Kluyveromyces lactis: one gene and its partners. The protein of the gene in region 1 interacts with the protein of each later gene in a pairwise test. Links are inferred from orthologs where the notes say so. Each region holds a gene or a part of one and is shown in the gene's direction. Other genes may lie near its edges.

Region 1 (3,761 bases):
CACTTGGCAGCTGTAACTGGCCACTTGATTGTATCGCAGAGTGACTACGATTATTTGAATAAGACCGTAAATGAACCATCAAGAAACTTCATCATTGAAAAGGCAAAGGATATCGGTATGGTTACTATCGAACAGAAAGAGTATGAAAAGTTAGTTCATAAGGGCAGTGATAAAACAATGTTACTCGAATCTATTAAGAATTTTGGATTTGTTCCAGTCACTGCGCCAGATTTCAATTCCTTTAAACAAAAGTCAATCGACAATGTTGACATCGACCAATTAACTAACAGATTGGAAACATTGGGTTACGTTGCAGTTTCAAAAGAAGGATACTCAAAATTAATGGCTCCCGTTATAGATAAAGTAACTAAAGATGAAACTTTTAAACTCTGTGACAAATACAATCTAAAGCCTGTTGCTGCTGAAGCATACCAGAAATTACAGGAAAGCTCGAAAGTTGCACTACTTTCAGAGGATGAATTGATTAAGAAAGTCAAGGAACATGGTCATGTGGTCTTAGATAGTAAGTCTTACGAAGATTTGATAAACAAATCAAACAATCCACAACTAAAAGATTTATCCAGACACCTCTCAACCTATAAAATGGTTCCCGTACAGCTGAACGAATATGAAAATCTAATGGCTATGAAAGACTCTCCCTCATTGACGTTTTTGAAGGAGAAGGCTAAACTTCATCATCAAACTATGTTACCATTCGATGAACTGGAGGGCTTGAAATCGAAATTAGAGCACCCATCTAGAGAATATTTAGAAAACATGGCTGGAACTCTTGGACTCGCCCTGTTACCAATTGAATCTATTGAAGAGCTCAAGACCTCATATGAAAATCCTTCTATTGCACACTTATCAAATAGGGCAAGCAATATTGGCAAACGTTTGATCGATCAACAGAAATATGACAATTTGCAAAGAAAAACAAACGAACCTACGGTGAAAGAAGTGGAACAACTGGCTGCTAGAATTGAATGCAAGGTTCTACCAACTGTCGAGTACGAAGAGCTACAGCTCGCAATCAATAACCCTTCAATCAAAAGATCAAAGGAGGTTTGCGACATCAATGGGTATAGCGTAGTTCCCACGAAAAAGTTCAATGAACTTCAACTTAACTTGACTAGTCCATCTTTAGAATTCTTGCAAGAAAAAGCGCAGCAACACAAACAAGTTTTACTACCGATTGAAGAACATAATAAGTTACAAATGTCAGCAGTTACTGACGAGCAGGGTTTACAGAGAAGTGCGAGAAGTCTCGGACTTGTAGTTGTTCCGGAAGCTGATTATGATTCTTTGTCCAATCCTTCCCTGCACATCCTACAAAAGCAAATAACAGAAAAAGGTCATGTGGTACTTGATGCTGAGACCTACAAAAGTCTCAATTCCTCAAATGTTGATTCAATTTCCAAACAGGAGGTGATAGGTCTGTGTTCAAAGTTCGATTTGATTCCTCTACCTGAAAAACACTATAAGGAGTTAACAGTTCCTTCGATAGAGAAAGTAAAACAGCTAGTCGAACCATTAGCGCTAACTGTTATTGACCGTGAGGAATTGGCTTTCTTGAAGACCCAAGTTGATAATCCATCTGAAGAATCAGTTGTAGCGACCGCGCCAAAATACGGGTACAAGCTCCTGGGTGACAAGGAATATGAGAATTTACAAAACGAGGCCAAAAAACTCTCTTCTCTCACCAAAATTGATATTGAAAAACTTGCAGCGAAATTGGGTCTTGTTGTTCTTAGTGAAGAATCATACGATGCTCTTATTGAAAAACTGAAAAAAGAGGTTGAAGTTTCTTCAATGTCACCAAGATCGAAAGTCGCAGCAAGCAAGCTATATTTCGAAAATGTTATCAAGAAAGAGAATTCAAATAAAGAGGTGGTATTAGAATCAGGAAAGTTATTAGGATTTGTAAGACTTTCAAACGATGAGTACAAAAGGCTTCTCGAGAATCAACAAAAGCACGAATTAACAAAGACGGATATTTATAATGGGGCAAAAGCCTTTGATCTCACTGTTCTTCCCTCCGAAGAATATAATAACTTATTACAAAGAAAGGCGCATAGTGATAATATTACATATGACGATTTACAGTTGTATGCTTCACGTTTTGCTTTGAAGTTGGTCCCTGTTAATTTCACAGATGAAGAACTCGAGAAACATAATAATCAACGTGTCGGCGATTATGGCTCTAGGCCTGCATTAAATCTCCATCCCTCTGTGAACCATTCCACTGTTAGTTTCAATTCTGTAAGCACAGGTGACACTGATTATTATGATGCGCTACAAAGTAGCAGCTCCTTCAACCTCAGAAACAGCCCTTCGAAGTCAAGCATGCATACATCTTCCACTCATTATACCGATGCCAATGATTTCCTTGGTTCTGATAATGATAATGTTTCACTGGCATCAACGATAAAAGATAATGAACCGACATTGGAGGACTTGCAAAGACATGCAGAAGTTTTAGGTTACAACCTTATTGAAAAGGATATCGATTGTCATCAAAATCATTACTCTACATCATTGACACCTGAAGATTTGACAAAGGATATCATTTACTCTGCTGCACCGCAATTCGGATTATCTGTGGTGCCAACTGAGGAATTTATAGAGATGGAGAAACTTATCACTTCAGAGAGGTTAACACCAGATTCTATTCGTGAGAGTGCGAAGAAGTATGGCTTAATAGTTTTAACTGAAGCTGAACATTCTCAACTTGTTAAAAAATCTACTCAATTGATCGCGCCAGCTCCAATAATCTCAACAGAAACAATTAAACAGAAAGCTAGAGAACATGGCCTCGTACCAGTAGCAACAAATGACTACCTGAAGCTTATCAAACCTGATAGTGCTGATGATATCAAGGAAAAAGCGTCAAAGCTGGGTATTGTCACATTAGCCGAAGAAGACTACAAGGAAATTAAAAAGCCTTTGACTCGCGAGCTACTGGAAGCAAGGGCCAAAGAACTAGAACTCGTCACGCTACCAGTTTTAGAATACAGTGCCCTCAAAAAACCGTTGACAGTTACAGACATAAAACAGAAATGTGAAGATTGGGGTTTAGTTCCTATAGAAAAAGACATATATGAAGACCTTTTGAACAAGTTCAACGATGACTCTGTCAGTGAATGGGCGAAAGAACATGGGAAAGTTATTGTCTCGAAAGACGAATATGACCATCTGTTGGAAGTCGAGGATCAAGCGGCTTCTGTTGCAATGACTAGGGATGAGTTGATAGAAAGAGCCCATGAGCTCAACATTATACCGATTGATGCTGACAAATTTGAAGAAATACAACGCGAATTAGCTTCCTCCGGCAGAAACAGTATGACGGAGGACGACGTTGTTTTGAAAGCTAAAGAATTAGGATTTGTGCCTATCCCAGTGTCCCAGTATGATCCAAATACCGCGATTGGTATTTCTAAAGACGATCTCATGATACGCGCACGAGATCTTGGTCTTGTTCCCATTCCTATTGAGCAGTTTGAACAGATTAAGAAAGAATTGGAGACGCCAACCTTGACCAGGGAACAAATAGTTGAGCATGCCGCTGATTTCAATTTGATAGCTTTAGATTTAACGGAGTACAAACGTTTGAAGAAGGGTTCGTATTTGATGGATAACGACAATGACACTGATTCTGAAGAAGATGAAGAGGAAGAAGAAGACGCAGAGGTCGTTGACTCTGAGATAAAACAATTAAACAAAGCTGCTAAGAGATTTGGCTTACTATGTATTCCAGAAAG
Region 2 (2,955 bases), on another chromosome or scaffold:
GTTTACTGGCACTGATGCCAATGGGGATCACGTTGATAGACCAAAGAGCCAAGGTATTGCGTTCCCAACTGGTCTATCGCTCAACCACTGTGCTGCTCATTTCACTCCTAATGCTGGTGACAAGACCGTGTTGAAGTTCGAGGATGTAATGAAAGTTGATTTCGGTGTCCATGTTAATGGTTATATCATCGATTCTGCGTTTACTATTGCATTCGATCCACAATACGATAATTTGTTGGCTGCTGTGAAGGATGCAACCAATACTGGTATTAAAGAGGCAGGTATCGACGTTAGGTTGACTGATATCGGTGAAGCTATTCAAGAAGTGATGGAATCGTACGAAGTGGAAATTAACGGTGAGACACACCAAGTGAAACCATGCAGGAATTTGTGCGGCCACAACATTAATCCTTATTCGATTCATGGGGGTAAATCTGTGCCAATTGTCAAGAACGGTGACAACACAAAGATGGAAGAAAACGAACATTTCGCTATCGAAACTTTCGGGAGTACCGGTCGTGGGTATGTTATACAAGAGGGAGAATGCTCTCATTATGCTAAGAAACCCGGTTCACATCCAACACCATCCCTATCGAGTGCCAAGAATCTATTAAAGGTTATTGATGAAAATTTTGGAACTATACCGTTCTGTCGTCGTTACTTGGATAGATTGGGCGAAGACAAGCACGTATACGCTTTGAACACATTGGTGAGGCAAGGTATTGTAGAAGACTACCCACCATTGAACGATATTAAGGGCTCATATACGGCTCAATTCGAACACACCCTTATCCTACATCCTCACAAGAAGGAAATTGTCTCTCGTGGTGACGACTATTGAAAGATACCATAAGACTTGTCGTAGTCAATACATAACAAACGCTACAACATATGCATATCTAGGTAAATTCAGTTTCGTTTAAATAGAATATAAAGTATAAAAGAACTGAAATCAAACCGTGCACTGTTGGTACCTCAAAAGATGCTTAATGCTCTTAGTGAGAGGGAAGTCTGTGTCGACTGCTCGCTGCATGATAATTACGTAACGAGGTTCAGTGCCCATTTCATTTGTTGTGGTTACCCTCACACATAAATACCCGAATTTGACATTTTGCAAACAAAGAAAAGTTGAACTAAGCGATTACAATTAAGAACAGAGAGACTTAGTTTTTGGCAGGATTTACAGTGATCGGTTCCTAGGTTAATTGTTCGAAGATTATCAGGTACGGTTATCTAATTCGTTTATCTTTCTATTTGGGATTTGTTATTTCGTTAGATTCGGGAAGTCTATTAGTTTTCCAGCTCTAACACAAGTGTGTATAAACTGTTTCTCACTATTATAAGTTTACAATGGTTGAAATTACTCCAAGTGTATTGGAATACAAACGTATGTGTCGCTTTGAGCAGTGGTTTAAAGGGATTAAAAACCACTTTACTATATGATCAGTTACAAAATATGGTGTTTAGCATTTGAAAGTGTACTTCGTGTGGTCAAATGTGTGGCCATATTGGCTCACTTTTCTTGCATGAGAGACAAATAATGGGATGAATACTTAGAAGGATTACAGGGATTCTGATAGATGTTCCATATCCTCAACCACATGGAATTATTCTCCGATGCTTAGATACTCAATATTATGTTTCTGTTATTATGCATTCGATATACTAACAAGCTTCCAAATCATTATTTCAATGTTTAATGGGATCATTTTTGCGATTCCATTATTCAATGTGATTTACCTCTCTGTTTTCGTAATAGCACCTTTCACTAGCCAAGCAGCTGAGCATATTACCATCAAGAATGACTCAGAACAAACAATTGCCTTTAAGGTGAAGACCACAGCTCCTAAGGTATACTGTGTAAGACCTAATGCCGCTTTGGTGCCAGCCGGTGAAAGCGTTGATGTTCAAGTGATTCTTTTAGGATTGAAGGAAGAACCTACACCAGATTTCAAATGTAAAGATAAATTCTTGGTTATAGCTTTGCCAGCTCCTTACGATTTAGGTGAACTGAGTGTGGCCGAAGCTTGGCCTCAATTGGAAGCAGAGTTCAAGAACAAGGGCCTGTCAAAGAAGATTAAGGTAAATTATCAACTAGATGCTGAACCAAGAGTCGTGGAAAATCTAGAAACTGATAACGTGCAAACTGAGACTGTCATTCCTTCAGCCAAGGAAACTATTGCTAGTGGTTCGAAAGCTACAGAAGAGTCCGCTAGTGAACCGGTACAAAAGAAATCTGTCCCGGTTGCATCTGCCAATACTGACCTGGATACTGAAAAGCCAAAAGTTGTGGAAAGTGAACCAAAGCTCGATGAAAAGGTCAAATCTGATACCAGCGCTAACACTGAAATTATTGCAGAACCCGCTAGTACGTCGAATATTGCACCGGCCGTGGTCATTTGGATCGTTATAGGTTTCTTACTTTGGTATTGGTTATCTTAGGATACATTCTGATTAAGTGAGGGAACTATCAACCATCGTATAATATATGACAACATATTTCTCGACTTTGATAGAAATGTTGTTATGAATTATATTCGTATTTCTTTTCTTATCTACGTCTGTTTCTTTTGTTTTAATTACCCCCGTACTTTTTAACCTGTTTGTTCTTTTCTTTGCAGGATTTCTTCATGCGGCTAAAATCATTCTTCATTATTGTTATTGTATTATCATTACAGCCATTAGTACTATGTTTTCCCCTAGCCAAGACATTGACAAGATATTTGAGTTAGTATTGAAATTGTTCATCTTGTGACACAGCTGTTCTTTTCATCGTTGTTTCGTTGAAACAACTCATTGAAAACAAAGGGAGACGAAAGATATTGAACTAATTCTCCTTCAAATTGATCCCAATATACTCAGCAACCGTCATTGATACTTTTCTTTCTGGCTCTTTTTACATCCTTTTTTTTTCTTCTGTTTATAGAGGCTCTTTTGGCAACTGTCCTATATTCA
Region 3 (3,661 bases), on another chromosome or scaffold:
CATCCTTGAAAGACAAGGACACACATGTATCTGACACTCCAAAGGGCTTTGGAGGGTCTGGAACCTTCCGTTACAAAGGGCCAAGTAGTAATCTACCATCAATTTTGATAAGTTTATCTGTTGATACATCTCGCAGCGCTGCTGAAGCCTTGCAAGAAATGCCAGATAAATTTTCCTTTCAAATGGAATGCTACTATAAACACTTGAATCAAGAATACGTTTCTGTAGAAACGAAATTTATTCCCAGTACAACCTTACCAGGTGAACATCTTTTAACCCAAAATTTCCACTGGGATATAATGGCTGGATCCATAATGAAAAAAATATCTTTCGCTGTCTTGTTTCAAGGCAAGTTTTATGATTACGATCTAAGGTGGTGGACGTTAGAAATAGTAAAACTTCTTAAATCATTGAATGCCATCGATGTTCCTGGCATTAAATCCTTACAAGAAGTAACGTACTTTATGCAAAGATCAACTCTCTTAAGGAAGAGAAATACATCGCCTGACGAGTGGATCGTCTACCATTGGACAATTCTGAATTCCCCTTTAAGTCATATATTCAAGATGGTTAGACCCCAAGTGTATTCGACCACAGGGCTTATTCAAAATACAACTGACATCCTTAATTATGCCGAACCTTTATTGGTAGATGGTGGTAACGTCCTTGTGGTACGAGATACTTCAGTAGGAGATAGCAGAGTTGACAGTTTGAAGGCAGCTGCTGATACCATATACCACGATGGAAGTCGATTTCCAAAGCCTTGGTATCGAGAAACCAAGCCAGGTGCTAGTCAGGATAGATTTGTAATTGCACGACTAGGCTTAACTGCAGAACATTCTTTGCATTCTGATGACCTCACGCTTGATAAATACATGGCACTGTTTAAATCAAAAAGTACTGCATGAAAAGTATGTAATCATTCATTTTACCTCTCAACAGATATCATGAACTCTATATATATATAACCAAAACCAAAAGGTTAGAATAGTTCCCCATTTACTGTCGCAACCTTCGAATCTATCGCTCCCCCTTTGAATAACAATTGTATGGCAGGAAAAGATACTATGTACGTATTCCTTGGTTTCTCCATCTGTCGCTTTTCAAAAATGACATATTTCATTTTTTAAAAGATACTATATAATTAAATCTAACCATTCTTTCCGAATAGCACATTAAAAGCCAGAGTCCAGAGGAAAAGAAAGAGAAACTGCAAGCGCGAGCCATTGGGTCGTTTCATTAGGGAAAGAAAGATGAACTCCACTTCCAACCGGACTCAGGTATTTTATATACCTGTTGGCCTAACTCAAGTTCAGAAAGATTTGTTGGAAATTTTAATCTCGATACATGCAGAGTCGTTTGTCTCATGTGTAGATAAACGTCTACTGCCAGAACTACAATCTAAATTAGAAAAAAAAGGGACAAATCTCAAAAGAGACTTGAGTATGACTGCATTAACAGATGTTCAGTTAACTGAATGGTTCTTCGAAAATATAAGAGCTGTCTCGAATCACCCTTGCCTGTTAGTTGAGCATTATATGCCTAGACAGTTTTTGTTAATGGAACCAACTGAAAGGTTGATATACACCAGCGATAAATTTGGCAAGTTAAATCTAATGGTTGATCTTTTATTGAATCGTAAGGACAAATCGAGGCCATTGCAAGTTGCTATCATTTCACATTCTGTGAAAGAATTGGATTTGATTGAAGGCGTCATGTTGGGAAAAGTTGCAAAGTTGAAGAGGTTATCTGGAACTTCTTTGTTTGACGAAAAACATGAATATGACGATCAAACTTCTGGTTCAAGAACAACCAATGGTGAAAATTCATCAAGTTCTGGTAGCGTAGCTCCTGAGCAAATCGGAAAATCGAAAGATGAATACAACTACTCTAAGTCAAGACGTAAGAATAACATATCTCAACTTGACTGGTTGTTTTTGGCAACAACCACACATTTGACACACTCTGAAGATTTACTTTCTAGGTACAATCTGGATCTTATCATCAGTTTTGATCCAATGCTGGACGAATCGTTACCATCGATATTCAAAGTCAGGAAAAATGGCAGAAAAACTCCTCTGTTTAAGCTATTGGTCCAAGATTCTCCGGATCACTATTTGTTATCCAAAAAGAAGCCAACTACTACTTCCGAAAAGCTAATTTTGGATTCCATTGTTCATTTTCTAAAGTATCGTGCCGATATCAAAGATCTTATTTCTTTACAACAATATGAAAATATTATTGACTCATTGATCAAAGAGACGGACCCTGGTGAATTTCTCCCAAGTGTAAATCCAGGAAGTTCGAGAAATAATGATGATTTGATTCCTTTTCTAACTAACCCAATGGAATTGATGCCTCTAACTTACGGAAAATATGAATTAAGGCTACAATCAGGACCAATGGACATTAAAAATTATCAGTATATTTTAAAAACACTCACGGCAGAACGACTCAAACAATGCCATGTAGAATATGAAGAGCGTGAAAAACTAGTCCTCAAGACCAGATTGAAAGAAACTAAAAGGTTAAATGACTTTGATGATTTGAAGGTGAATATCGGACAACATTTCAAAAAACTCAAAGAAAATGAAACCAAAATCAACGACTCTGAAAAACGCGTTGAAAGAACAAGATCTGAGTTGGAAGTTTTAGAAGAACGTCTAAAGAGCTTGGTTGAACGCAAATCCGAGCTTGTAAGGCTCTTAACTCTCGAAGATATTGCAAAAGAAATTGAAAATCAGAAGCAACAACATACCAAGCTATCAGATGAAGTTTCTTCCTTCAAGAAGAGTAACGATGAAGAGTCCTTTAAGAATGACGATTTGAGATCTAGCTACCAACAAAAATCGTCTGAGGCTGCTTCAGAAGTGCTAAAGACTTCAGCTCTGAAAGCTGAGAAAGAGGAGTTGGAACGCCAATTGAATGGACCTTTCACCAAGTGGGAACTTATTATATTGCAAGAAAAAGAAGCACAACTCAAATCTTCCTTACGCAAAATGGTACAGCAGTCTCAATTCCTAATACAATACATGAACCGAATACAAGGCCAATACAACATTGAAAACGAACCTGCAAAAAAATCATCTCCGGCAACGAACAACTCGTCAAGGTACACTACAAGAACTACCAGGGCTACTTCTCCTACGTACACATAAGTATTACTCCTTCTAGGATACATCCAGACCAAACCATCTCTCAACTACTGCATGCAATATACTGATATCTGAAAGCCTGTCAGATTCTGGTAAACACAAGCTTGCTTGCAAAATTGTAACACTAGCGCAATTACTCCTCTATATAGACCAGTTTGTATTATGTGAGTCAATAGTGACTTGTTCATTCTAATTTCGACATGACCACCCTAACTGCGGCAGTAACGGATCGGCATAACCATATTCAGTTGAAACTGGAACATAGAATTTGAGCTTTTTTTTTCGTACTTTTCGGATTTTAAAGACCTTTACTGATTCGTCTGGTATTTTGCATATAGGGTAGAAAATAAGAACTTTTAGTAGATTTTATGTCTTGCTCTCAAATTGAAAGCAGAAACTAAGGGTATACAGTTCTTTTTTTTTTCTTACCATTGCGTTGTATTGAGCTGACTCCCACAAAATAATAACACTTTAATCTTGGCTACTGTTAAACTCTGAACTTGATT

The links.
Region 2: the proteins of NUM1 (region 1) and SCS22 interact in binary tests that used the Saccharomyces cerevisiae proteins (3 or more experiments, as listed by UniProt). The link is inferred for Kluyveromyces lactis from reciprocal best matches to the Saccharomyces cerevisiae genes NUM1 and SCS2.
Region 3: the proteins of NUM1 (region 1) and HDA2 interact in a two-hybrid assay, tested with the Saccharomyces cerevisiae proteins (2 studies listed by BioGRID). The link is inferred for Kluyveromyces lactis from reciprocal best matches to the Saccharomyces cerevisiae genes NUM1 and HDA2.

The regions. Positions count from the first base shown.
Region 1 is NC_006040.1:1,402,562-1,406,322, forward strand, and holds part of NUM1 (Num1p), read left to right. Parts: coding exon 1-3,761. UniProt on the Saccharomyces cerevisiae protein: Controls nuclear migration. NUM1 specifically controls the interaction of the bud neck cytoskeleton with the pre-divisional G2 nucleus. Functions in dynein-anchoring.
Region 2 is NC_006041.1:623,494-626,448, reverse strand, and holds SCS22 (phospholipid metabolism-regulating protein SCS22), read left to right. Parts: upstream 1-1,617; coding exon 1,618-2,442; downstream 2,443-2,955. Other genes in the region: MAP2 (methionine aminopeptidase), read left to right, coding at 1-841. UniProt on the Saccharomyces cerevisiae protein: Acts as an endoplasmic reticulum (ER) membrane anchor for cytoplasmic proteins via binding to the FFAT motif of targeted proteins. Regulates phospholipid biosynthesis by modulating the subcellular localization of the transcriptional repressor OPI1.
Region 3 is NC_006039.1:896,103-899,763, forward strand, and holds HDA2 (Hda2p), read left to right. Parts: upstream 1-1,253; coding exon 1,254-3,158; downstream 3,159-3,661. Other genes in the region: GTPase-activating protein NEL1, read left to right, coding at 1-908. UniProt on the Saccharomyces cerevisiae protein: Required for activity of HDA1 histone deacetylase complex. The HDA1 histone deacetylase complex is responsible for the deacetylation of lysine residues on the N-terminal part of the core histones (H2A, H2B, H3 and H4).